Caenorhabditis elegans: one gene and its partners. The protein of the gene in region 1 interacts with the protein of each later gene in a pairwise test. Each region holds a gene or a part of one and is shown on either strand. Other genes may lie near its edges.

What was found.
Region 2: the proteins of fem-2 (region 1) and C32D5.8 interact in a two-hybrid assay, tested with the Caenorhabditis elegans proteins (one large-scale study listed by BioGRID).
Region 3: the proteins of fem-2 (region 1) and ule-1 interact in a two-hybrid assay, tested with the Caenorhabditis elegans proteins (one large-scale study listed by BioGRID).

The regions. Positions count from the first base shown.
Region 1 is NC_003281.10:632,698-636,450, reverse strand, and holds the start of fem-2 (Protein phosphatase fem-2), read left to right. Parts: upstream 1-1,824; 5' UTR 1,825-1,878; coding exon 1,879-1,917; intron 1,918-1,971; coding exon 1,972-2,311; intron 2,312-2,722; coding exon 2,723-2,919; intron 2,920-2,969; coding exon 2,970-3,579; intron 3,580-3,753. Other genes in the region: eakr-4 (EAK-4 Related), read left to right, coding at 284-409, 758-856, 911-970, 1,031-1,153, 1,211-1,558. UniProt on the Caenorhabditis elegans protein: Dephosphorylates auto-phosphorylated Ca(2+)/calmodulin-dependent protein kinase unc-43/CAMKII in vitro. Involved in the regulation of sex determination.
Region 2 is NC_003280.10:6,344,120-6,347,872, forward strand, and holds the start of C32D5.8 (protein-disulfide reductase), read right to left. Parts: upstream 1,804-3,753; 5' UTR 1,793-1,803; coding exon 1,720-1,792; intron 1,397-1,719; exon of another isoform or gene 1,239-1,396; coding exon of another isoform or gene 964-1,238; intron 916-963; coding exon of another isoform or gene 809-915; intron 766-808; coding exon of another isoform or gene 612-765; intron 497-611; coding exon of another isoform or gene 265-496; intron 204-264; coding exon of another isoform or gene 189-203; exon of another isoform or gene 1-188. Other genes in the region: txt-18 (transcellular chaperone signaling (x)cross tissue), read left to right, coding at 189-203, 265-496, 612-765, 809-915, 964-1,238; Protein lgg-1, read right to left, coding at 3,144-3,227, 3,280-3,567.
Region 3 is NC_003279.8:2,220,331-2,224,083, reverse strand, and holds the start of ule-1 (Chitin-binding type-2 domain-containing protein), read left to right. Parts: upstream 1-1,770; 5' UTR 1,771-1,790; coding exon 1,791-1,842; intron 1,843-1,883; coding exon 1,884-2,002; intron 2,003-3,155; coding exon 3,156-3,525; intron 3,526-3,753. Other genes in the region: Receptor-type guanylate cyclase gcy-17, read left to right, coding at 357-455, 514-731.

The DNA of each region.
Region 1 (3,753 bases):
CCCCAGGAACATGATTTGAAGGCTAGAAAACTAATTCTCTAAGTTTCCCCGGCTCGAAAAAAATTCGTTCAATATTTATTTTCCATCACTTTGCATAATTTACAGTACTCACCAGGCCAGCGAAATTCATGAAATTGTACAATTTTCTTGTTGTTTTTCCAACAAAATTTAAAAATAACCCGGACTAGTCGAAAACAAGGCAGTCGTGGGGTACTGTAAATTAGGCGGCCTACCAAGTTGAGCCTTCGCCAAGTAATCCTCTATTTCCCTGTCACAACCGATAATGGGGCAATGTCTTGGAACCCTGTGCACTGTAGATTCAGCTACAGATAATATTTCCAGCGTCTATCAGCTGGCAGGCCCAGTTGCGGTGAAAGAGAGCCCACGTATTGCTGAACGGGACCCAAAGGTAATATTTTTCGTTTTTTTTTCAGAGTCTTATGTTTTCAATCTTTTTTGCTGAGAAACCTTCGAAAAAAAAAACAAATCTAAGCTTAAGTCTAAACCTAAGCCTATGCCTGGAGACACAAGCCTAAGCCTACGCATAAGCCTAGGCCTAAACCTAAGCCTACACCTAAGCTTAAGCCTAAAGGTTAGCCTAAGACTAAGCTCACACCTAAGCCTAAGACTCAGCCAAAGCCTAAGACTCAGCCTAGGCCTCAGCCAAAGCCTACGCCTAAGTCTATGCCAATTTCTAAGTCTATGCCTTTGACAATACCTAAACGTATGCCTATACCTAAGCTCAAGAAATTTTCAGGTCAAAATCTCTGTGAATCCCGAGGAGGAAAATGTTGAACGCCCCTGTGTACTTTACTCGAAAAGTAACGAGATTATCAAAAAACCGGATATTTTTGAGGTGAGAATATTCTTAATCACGGGCACGGATTTTCTCAAATTTATAAATTTTTAGGAAATCTACAAGCGCACACCGATCACCCTCTCGAATAACGGTAGAATTGACGTTGCCGAGGTTTTTTAAACATATTTTTTTCAAAATTACATTTATCAAGAACTGAATTAATGAATTCAGCTTCCCGCCGGACAACGAGTCATTGAAGTAGAGAACAACGAGGTTCGCGACAAGTATAAAAAAACGTTGTACGAGATTCGGAGAAAATGCAGGGAACTTCAGAATTTGGGTGCTGAGGATGAGGTAGGCGGCCTTCAATGGCGTTTGAGTTAACTCAAGAAAAATCTGCGATTTTTCCAGGAAACCGGTGAAATCATCGATACTCTTCTTATTCTTTACAAGGACTTCTTCTTACTAACCACGTGGAAAATCGATAAGTACGCCCAGTTGAGAAAAAATGCCGCAGTTCAAGCTTACAACTCGCTACCCAAGCTTAGAGCCGACCCCGCTGAATTCCGATGCCACGTGGAGTTTCAGTATCGCGTGGCAAATGAGCTATGGGAGCATTTCAAGGAGACATATATCCACAAATATGAAGCATGTAATTGGGCGGAGAGGGCGAAAGTGAAGGAATGGGATCTTTTGGACAGCCAAGTACAGACGCCGAATGTGGAGTGGGATTATCTTGGCGCGCATGGATATATATGAATAATTGATTTTTATTTTAAATTTTTGATCCATTTTTGATTTGATAAAAATGTTATTAATACAATACAATGCGAATTAAATTAATATTTCGCGCGAGAAACGCGCCAACGCACCGAAAGTGCGCAAACGAGAAGCTTTGCGCGTTTCTGGTGCAGAAAATTCTGCATTATTTTTTTGTTGATTTTTCCTCATTTTGTGTTGAAATCCATTGTTTTTTCTCGGTTTTTCTCTGATTTTTATGTTAAAAACAATTATTGAAATGTCAGATCAACCCAGCTGTCCCACCGAAGCCGGTAGTGGTTTTAAAACTGGAAAAATACATGGAAAAAGTAAACGAGGAGCGGGATGCGGTTTTCGAGGTAGAAAACGGGATTTTATATATTTAATGCTAGTTAGAAAAATGTATATTCCAGGATCACATCGGCGATCGCCGTCGAAGTGTCCGGTCACTTCTGGAGGAGGCATTTGCAGATGAAATGGAGAAAACTAGCTATGACGTCGAGGTTGCCGACACTCCACAACCGCATATTCCAATACGTTTCCGTCATCCACCAATCGCCGGACCAGTTCATGATGTTTTCGGAGACGCGATTCACGACATTTTCCAGAAAATGATGAAAAGAGGCCAGGCGGTCGACTTTTGTCACTGGGTGTCTCACTTGATCGCCACAGAAATTGACGAGAAATTCAGTGAAGTTGCGTTCAGAGATGTTCAGTATAATCCTGATATTTATGTTACCGATAGTACCACAGGTAATTATTAAATGTGCAAAATCTGCTATTAATTTAGCAGACCAAGCATGGGCCTGCTAAATATTCAGCAGGCCTATCCCCATTGGTCTGCTAAATATTTAGCATACCTAACTTGGGTCTGCTAAATATTTAGCAGACCCATCCCCATTGGTCTGCTAATTATTTAGCAGACCAACTATGGGTCTGCTAATTATTTAGCAGACCACCTATGGGTCTGCTAAATATTTAGCATACCTACCATGAGTCTGCTAAATATTTAGCAGACCTATCCTCATTGGTCTGCTAAATATTTTTAGCTGGCCATTCCCCATTGATCTGCTAATTTTTGCAAAAATAAAACTTGTTAAATAGAATTTTTAAAAAATCTTCAAAAACTCAACACTTCTGTTCATCAATACAACTTATTTTCAGAAGCCAAAAAGCTATTCAACGACAAAATTTGGCCGGCGATCGACAAGATTCTCCAGCAAAACGCCGAAACGTGCCCGATTCTGTCTGAAAAGTGGTCTGGAATCCACGTGTCGGGCGATCAACTGAAAGGGCAACGTCACAAGCAAGAAGATCGGTTTTTGGCGTATCCTAATGGGCAATATATGGATCGTGGAGAGGTTTAGGAGGATTTTAGGCCTGGAAAATTACTGAAAAATGAAATTTTTAGGATCCAATTTCGGTGTTAGCGGTGTTCGATGGTCACGGTGGTCACGAGTGCTCTCAGTACGCAGCCGGGCACCTTTGGGAGACATGGTTGGAGGTTCGAAAATCGCGAGATCCTTCAGATAGCCTCGAAGATCAGCTTCGCAAGTCGCTGGAGCTTCTCGACGAACGAATGACTGTCAGAAGTGTGAAAGAGTGTTGGAAGGGTGGAAGTACAGCTGTCTGCTGTGCAATCGACATGGATCAGAAGCTTATGGCGCTGGCGTGGCTCGGTGACTCACCCGGATACGTCATGTCGAACATTGAATTCCGTCAGTTGACACGTGGACACTCGCCATCCGATGAACGGGAAGCTCGGCGTGTTGAGGAAGCTGGCGGCCAGCTTTTTGTGATTGGAGGCGAATTGCGGGTGAACGGAGTTCTAAATCTCACCCGAGCACTCGGAGATGTTCCTGGACGGCCGATGATCTCTAATGAACCGGAAACGTGTCAGGTGCCTATTGAAAGCTCGGATTATCTGGTGCTCCTGGCTTGTGATGGAATTTCTGATGTTTTCAACGAGCGTGACCTGTACCAGTTGGTGGAGGCATTTGCGAATGATTATCCTGTTGAAGGTTAATAAAAATTCTTGGAGAAAAACTAAATTTCCAAAGCCAAAAACTATTTTTTCGTTTTTTTTTTCTGAAAAAAAATCAGAAGATTGGCTATTTTTCGGGGGTTTTCAAAAAAAAAAGTAAAGATTTTCGAATTATTGTATTTTTAAAAAAGAAAATCGGGTAATTTACTAA
Region 2 (3,753 bases), on another chromosome or scaffold:
GGAGATTTTGAACTGGGTCGCTCGAAACGAGTCTTTTTCTCGACGCTCTAAAATCTGCGTCTCAAATTTTGCGCACTTTCATATATTTTCTTAGCATTTCTTCACTTTCTAATAACATCTGGCGATCCCGATTTTCATAAGTTTCTCCACTTTTATTTCTAATATTTGGTCTCTACCGCTTTGAAAATATGGAGAAGTTCATAGTAAGTCTGAAAAGCTAGGATCTACGTTTTTCACGTGGTTTTCCAAATCAAAAAAATTTAGGATTTACTAGAGTTTGGCTCAGCGGAGCAGAAACGAAAAATGGGTCGACCATCAAAGATCCCTCCTTTCTCACATTATGACGCGTATAGAAGATCTGACATCGACTTTTTCATATCATTGTTTTCTGGAAGAGAAGAATTATACAGTCCGTGCAAGAAGAATAGTGATTTTCGACAGAAAGCGTTTTATATTATAGAGAAAAAATGTGGACATTTTCTTGCAATGAGGAAAGGTTAGTTTTTAGTTTTGAAAATGTGATTTACGAAAAGAGAAAGACTGTTTTTGATTTGGACTGTAAACATGTGAACAGGAATAAACATGTTTATGAACACCACATCAACTTACAGGTAGAAACGCCGAAAAGTTATGGTTATACCTATTCAATGATTTTGAAAAAATGATTAGAAATGGTGGTGATAAGAATGATGAGAAGTCCAAGTCTATAGTTCCGTTCTACGATTGTCTACAATTCCTTATTCCTTATTTGGAAAAAACAGACAGGTATGAAATGATCTAGATTTCCGAAACGGAAACCTTTTTCCAGCTTGTCAAAATTGACATTAACGACTTGCAATGCAGAAGCCGATGATCAACAAGTAAAAGCAAAAAAGCCAAAGATTGAGCATGAGCTATCAGAAGACAAGTTGAATGGTCTGAACTGTGATTTAAAGTGTATGTAAATTACAAGTAATTTTTCAGATGACTGGCTTCAAAAAGTTATAGATACGGTTACATGTCAGCAATCTACAAGTTGTACAAGTATACAATTGAATTCTTCGGCTCCTTCAACCTGCTCTGCAAAAACACCTAACTCAACAGCAAATCTACCAACTTCTGAAAAACACGCAGACATCATAGCCTATGTAACAAACTTTTTAGAAGATGTGCCAAACGACAAGTTGATGCTTCACAAAGTTCGATTATTCCAGTTTATCGAAGAAGAAAAGTCTAGGTTGAAAGAAGAAAGTAAATAAATTGAAAGGAATGATAAAAAAGAGTATAGATTGGAAGTGATAGTCTATGACTAGAAAGCGAGACACTCTTGTTTGTTTATTCATGATCATGGTCTCTCCTATATGAAACCACTGAATTTTTGATCGCAAATACTTTTTTCATGGAATGAACAGGTTACTACGAAATGCTCCGAATATCTTCTGATTGTGTGATCTATATAAGAAACATTAGTGAGCATATAAAAACGGTATCTTAGTTATTGAAAAATTTACTTGAATGCTAAACTGGGCTTATACTTTCGACTGACTTTCATCGTACACTATGGAATTGATATCTAAAAAATAAGATGACGTGGTGGTTGGTTAACCAACCATGTTAACCAACCAACCATGTACAACTAATCAAAAAGTAAACGTATAATACCCGATCGCAACGAAACAACTTTCGTGTTTATCAGGTCACCTGCTGAGAAACTTGCCAAATTTTTCAGTGTTTCACTACCTTTTGGGTCGACCGACATCTGCGCGGCACTCGTTGCTGGTTGTTTCGAATTCGAATTCGCCGTGTTCCCCATCACAGTCAAGTAATGATGGGGAAACCGATGAGATAACGAATACACCGTTCAAAAGGTAAAGGTCACGTTTTCGATCGAATTTTGCGATCAAATTGAAAAAAATAAGAAGAAGAAGAGATGGCAGAACATACACGTGATGAATTCAAAAAGGCAGAAAAATAGAAAAAAAAAGAGTATAAACACCACTTTATGAATAAAGCCATGCCAGTTTCTAATAGCAACGAAGGGAAAACAACGAGAAAATGGATAGAGGAAAAAGGGAAAAGGAGAAGGTGTAATTATAGAATCGATTTGACTGGGAAGCAGCGGCGACTCGTAGATTTACAATAGTAAGATGTAGAGAAACGAGACTCTTTTTTTAATCTCAAAAATATGTATTTAATTATACATCTTGAAAATTTTGCAGATTTTTTTAGAGTTAGCCTACAGTACTCGGTCTCGAAACGGCCAAAACTATTTAAATACCGTATCCGCAAGTATTTGTTTTTAATTTTTCATGATCTCCTACAATTTTCCAAAAATGTATCGGTTTTTCCTTTAAAAATGTGGAATTTTAAGTGAAACTATTACAACAGATACAGGTGAAAATTGCGAAACACTTTTGGGTGCGGTAGCTGAAAAGTTTCCATCGTGCCGAGACCGGCTACCGTATTTTCGCATTGAAAATCTCAAACTTCTGCAAATGGGTAGTACCAAAATTGTGTCTCGAAAATGATAAAATATGCCAGAATCGAATCAAAAATGATTCCTAAGTCAACGTTTGAGCCCTCTTATGACATTTTCAGACGATGACAACTAGAATAAACTGTCATTTGACAGATGACTAATGGATACAAAGAGCCTTTTTGCCAAAAGTGTGTCACCATTTTCGAAATAAAATTCTCATTTTTCTCTATACTTTGTTCAGAAATCTACAATGATGTTTACGTAATACAAATGTGACGTCAATTCTATACAGATGAAAAAGTGATTTCGCAATGTGTATTGCTAACTGTTGGAGGTATTCCATTCGCTGGCCGAAAATAACGATGAGCATGAACATGAATTTGTTTGTGTCTTCTTCGTTTATTCATGAATCAAAAATTTGAAAGTAATAGCAAAAAAATATCAAAATCCGAGAGAAAACATGATTTTCTGGGAGGGGAGAAGAGCAACTTCGTAGACAATAGTTTGAATAGAAGTCACTACTCGGAACCGTCATACGAGAAAAATGAGAAGAAAATGTGAAGGAAATACAGAATTATTACAGAAAATGAGAAGATTTTTTTAAAGGGGCTTTGGGTTTCCATTAGAAGTATGAAATTTCCATTGTACAAGTATACACATTCGTCGGCGGATAATACATGACACTTTATTCCTTCTTTTCGACCTCTCCTCCATACACACTTTCGTCACTGTAGGCGATGTAAAGGAACAAGTCTTCCTCGTGATGGTCCTGTAATAAAGAAAAGGGTTAATTAAATGAAAATAAACGACTGGTTAGTTACCTGGTAGAGTTGTCCCATTGTGGTCATGGTTTGTGGAATGACATTGTTGACAAAGAAGAACAGAGCATCTTCTGGACGAAGTTGGATGCGTTTTCTGATGAGGAAGTAGAACTGTCCAACAGTAAGATCGGATGGGACCAAGTACTTCTTCTTATCCAAGTCATGGAGCTTTGACTTTGGTGCTTTCTCAACAATCACTGGAATACGGTCTGGGTACTTTCTGCGGATCTTGTCTCCTTCGGCACGACGCTTCTCAAAGTTGTTCTCCTCCTTGTAAGCCCACTTCATTTTGATTCGAAGGTTAGTGTGAAGAGAAGGTTACTGGAATAAAAATACTTTAAATCACAGAAAAATCATAAAAGAACCATGAGAGAAGAAAGGTGTAACAAGTGAGAGTGAATGAAGGTGACATCACATGGGTTTTGAGAGATTGACCGATTCGATAACACATTGCGAAATCTATATAAAATTGAC
Region 3 (3,753 bases), on another chromosome or scaffold:
TCCTATACCTAAGCCTAAGATTAAGCCTAAGTCTAAACCTAAGCCTAAGCCTACGCCAAGGCCTAAGCTTAAGCCTAAGTCTAAGCCTAAGCCTAAGTCTAAGCTTAATCCTACGCCCAAGCATGAGCCTAAGCCTGTATTTGGTAAAAAAAGCTAGTATGAACCTTTCAGATTTTTTAATTTCTCTCAAAAATTGGCAAATATTGAATTTTGAAATTCGTGCGAAAACTTTAAAATTTTCGATCAATTTAGTTATCCGAAAAAATTATACCTTCAAAAAAATTAAATTTTAACTTTCGCGCTAAAATATTTTTCGGTCATGACGTCATTTCTCTTCCACCTCCCCTAAACTTCAGGTTCCGTAGTTGCCGGAGTCGTTGGCTTAACCATGCCTAGATACTGCCTATTTGGAGATGCAGTTAACACAGCAAGCAGGATGGAGAGTAATGGAAAACGTAGGTTTTGCTACGTGGCCGTGAAAAATGAGAAACTCGGCCACCAATTTTTTTTCAGCCGGCAGAATCCACGTATCATCGGAGGCAAATCATCTGCTAACACACGTGGTTGGAGGGTTCCGAACCGAAGAAAGAGGCGAGGTGATAATTAAGGGAAAAGGTGTTATGAATACGTATTGGCTGCTGGGAGAAAACGATTCGGTGCCTGTCAAGTCTAATATGAGGAAACGGGAAAATACTCCGTCGATGGCGAGAAGTATTACACCGGAAATTTGATTTTTTTAATTTCATTTTGGATTTTTAAAATAAAGGTTTTTTTAACTGTAGATACTGTAGAGGTACTGTAGAGGCATTGTAGGGTTACTGTAGAGGTACTGTAGGGTTACTGTAGGGATATAGTATGGTTAGAACCACATCAGTGCAGGGGTATGTGATGGGGGATATGGTTACTGTTGGATACTGTAGGGTTACGGTAGGGTTACCGAAAGGGTACTGTAGTATTACGCTAGGGAATTCTGTAGGGGTACTGGGGGGTTACTGTAAGTTCACTGTATAGCTACTGTAGGGTTACTGTAGGGAAAGATTTGGGGTAATGTAGGATAACTATAGAGTTACGGTAGAGGTATTATAGAGTTATGTTAGGGAGCACTGAAGGGGTACTGTAGAATTGCTGTTGGGTTACTGTATAGGTACTTTTAGATTACTGTCAGAGTGATGTGTGGTTACTGTAGGGTTATTGTAAAAGTACTGTAGGATTGGTGTGGGTTACGGTAGGAAATACTGTAGAGTGGGAACTTTGAGTTGACGCCTCCCGTTGAGGTCCTCTATGATCACTGTTTAGTTACTGTACGGGTACCGTAGGGTTACTGTAAGACTTCTGTGAAAATATCGTGAAGTTATGTCATAGATGGGCTTCTGTAAGGATACTGCGGGGGTCTTTGAAAAAATGGGTACAGAAAAATGGTAATTTTCAGCTTACTGTATGGTTACTGTAAGATTTATTGTAGAATCAAAACTTGCATAGGCTTTGAGGGTACTGTACAAATTACTAATAACAACTCAGGCTGCTCATATATGGAAGTATAGAAGATGGGAAACCAGCACAGCAAAATTTTGATTTTTTGAAATTTTCTGAGCAGAAGCTGGAAAATTTCAATTCCGAGACGTCCATCTGATGACGAATCGTCTGAAATTTCAATTCAATAGCATCAATTACTCATAAATTTTCAATTTTTCTTCATGCCCAATACATTTTTCAAACAATTGTCTTTTGTTCAATTTGTGTGCTATAAAACCTTCTCGAGCTATCACCAAAATTCATTCAATCATCGAAAAATGCTCTTCTTCCTCATTTTTCTGGGTCTGATGGCCACTGCTTCAGCAAAAGGTAAGACTTTTTAGATTTTTATTTGAAAAAAAACTTTTCAGCGGGCCGCTGCAACGAAGGTGACCAGGACGCTCATTTTGATTCGAACAAATTCTGGAAATGTGAGGGTGGGCGGTGGATTGTTGTAACTTGTCAGATTAACTATTTTTATGATGCTACAGTAAGTATTTTATTCTGGGGCTTTGGCCTAGGTGTAGGTTTGGGGCTTAGGCTTAGGCTTAGGCTTATGCTTAGGCTCAGCCTGGGAGTAGGGTATCTTCAACTAAACGTTGTCAGAAGATTCGCCAGTTTTTCTAAAACATTTTTTTTCAAAAAATGCACAAAATTCCGATTTTCCAGAATTTTTTAAAAATCCCGAAAAAATGTATTCATGGTGCATCGACTTTTTTTTTTGAAATTTCACCGGAAAATGTAGAGTTTTCGTGAACAATTCTAGAAAAACAGGCTTTCAGAATTTGCAGATAAATAGTGCAAAAAATTAGATTTTTATGGGTAGTTCTAGAAAAACGGGCGGTAAAGAAAATTCATACATTAAAAAAAAGAGCCTGAAAATATAGAAATTTGTGCTTTTTTGTTGGAAATTTGTCAGCCAAATCTGAATTTTTTGCATTTTCTATTCAAAAAGTGCAGAAAATTTCGATTTTTTAGCTTTTAAATTTTTTATTAAATCATGGTGCATTGACTCGGAATTTTTTGAAAATTCACGGAAAAATGTAGAGTTTTCGAGTAAAATTCTAGGAAAACAGGTCTGCATAATTGGTAGATAATTTGTGCAAAAAAATTAGATTTTTATGGATAATTCAGGAAAATCATTTTCTCTGAAAACTAAAAAAAAATAGTTTTTATTAATCACGGGGTTCTGGCCTTCCTCATTGAATTTTTCGCGCTCCATTGACAATCGCCTGCCGGACTGGGAAAGTCGTGTACTCCACACGGACAAATACATTTAGTTTTACAATTAAAATCGAGCCGCGACGCGACACGTAACGCGCCGTAAATCTACCCCAGATATGGCCGAGCCAAAATGGCCTAGTTCGGCAAAAACTCTTCCATTTCAATTTATGAGGGAAGCCAGAAATCCGTGATTAATCATGGTGCATCGAAAAATTTTAATTTGAAAATTCGCCAAAATTCGCTAAAAATTTGAATTTTCAGAGAAAACTTCAGAAATTCACAGATTTTTTCTCAAAAATGTTTCACCAGATTTTCTAAAACTTTTTTTTTTTCACTTTCGCGTCAAATTTTCTGAAAATGCAACTTCTACCCAAGGCTCACATTGAGGCTCCGCCTATAAAATGGTTCAAAATTTCCAGACTGGCTTCTGCTACCTGTCCCGATTCCCAACTACCCGTCCTTACCCACCACCATTCCCGACTCGCCCCCGACCAACTCAGGGCCACCGCTGCTACCCTGGCACTAGAATCCCGTACCCACATGACCATACCATGTTCCTCGAGTGTTCAACTGATGGAACAGAGTATATTAAAAGATATTGCCAGCCTGATGCGGTTTTCGTGCAACGGGAGAACATGTGTGTGGCCATTCAGACCACGTACCGCCCGACGAGAACATGGCCGACGACTACAACTACTCCATACTATGGTGCATGCAAGGAATCTGCCGGTCATGATGGGTATAAGCCGGATGTTTACAATTGCAAGAATTTCTATCAGTGTGCTTCAGGTAAGAGGCTCCTACAGTACCCTCAAAGCCTATTCGGTACTCTTACAGTAATCTTAGAGTAGCATCAATTTTGGTTCTACAGTAAATCTTACAGTAACCCTACAGTAAGCTGAAAATTACCATTTTTCTTACCGTTTTTTAAGGCTTCTGCAGTATCTTTACAGAAATCTTACAGTAACCCTACTAACTATAGGTATAACGGCAAATTTGTTGTCGACAATTCGTCAA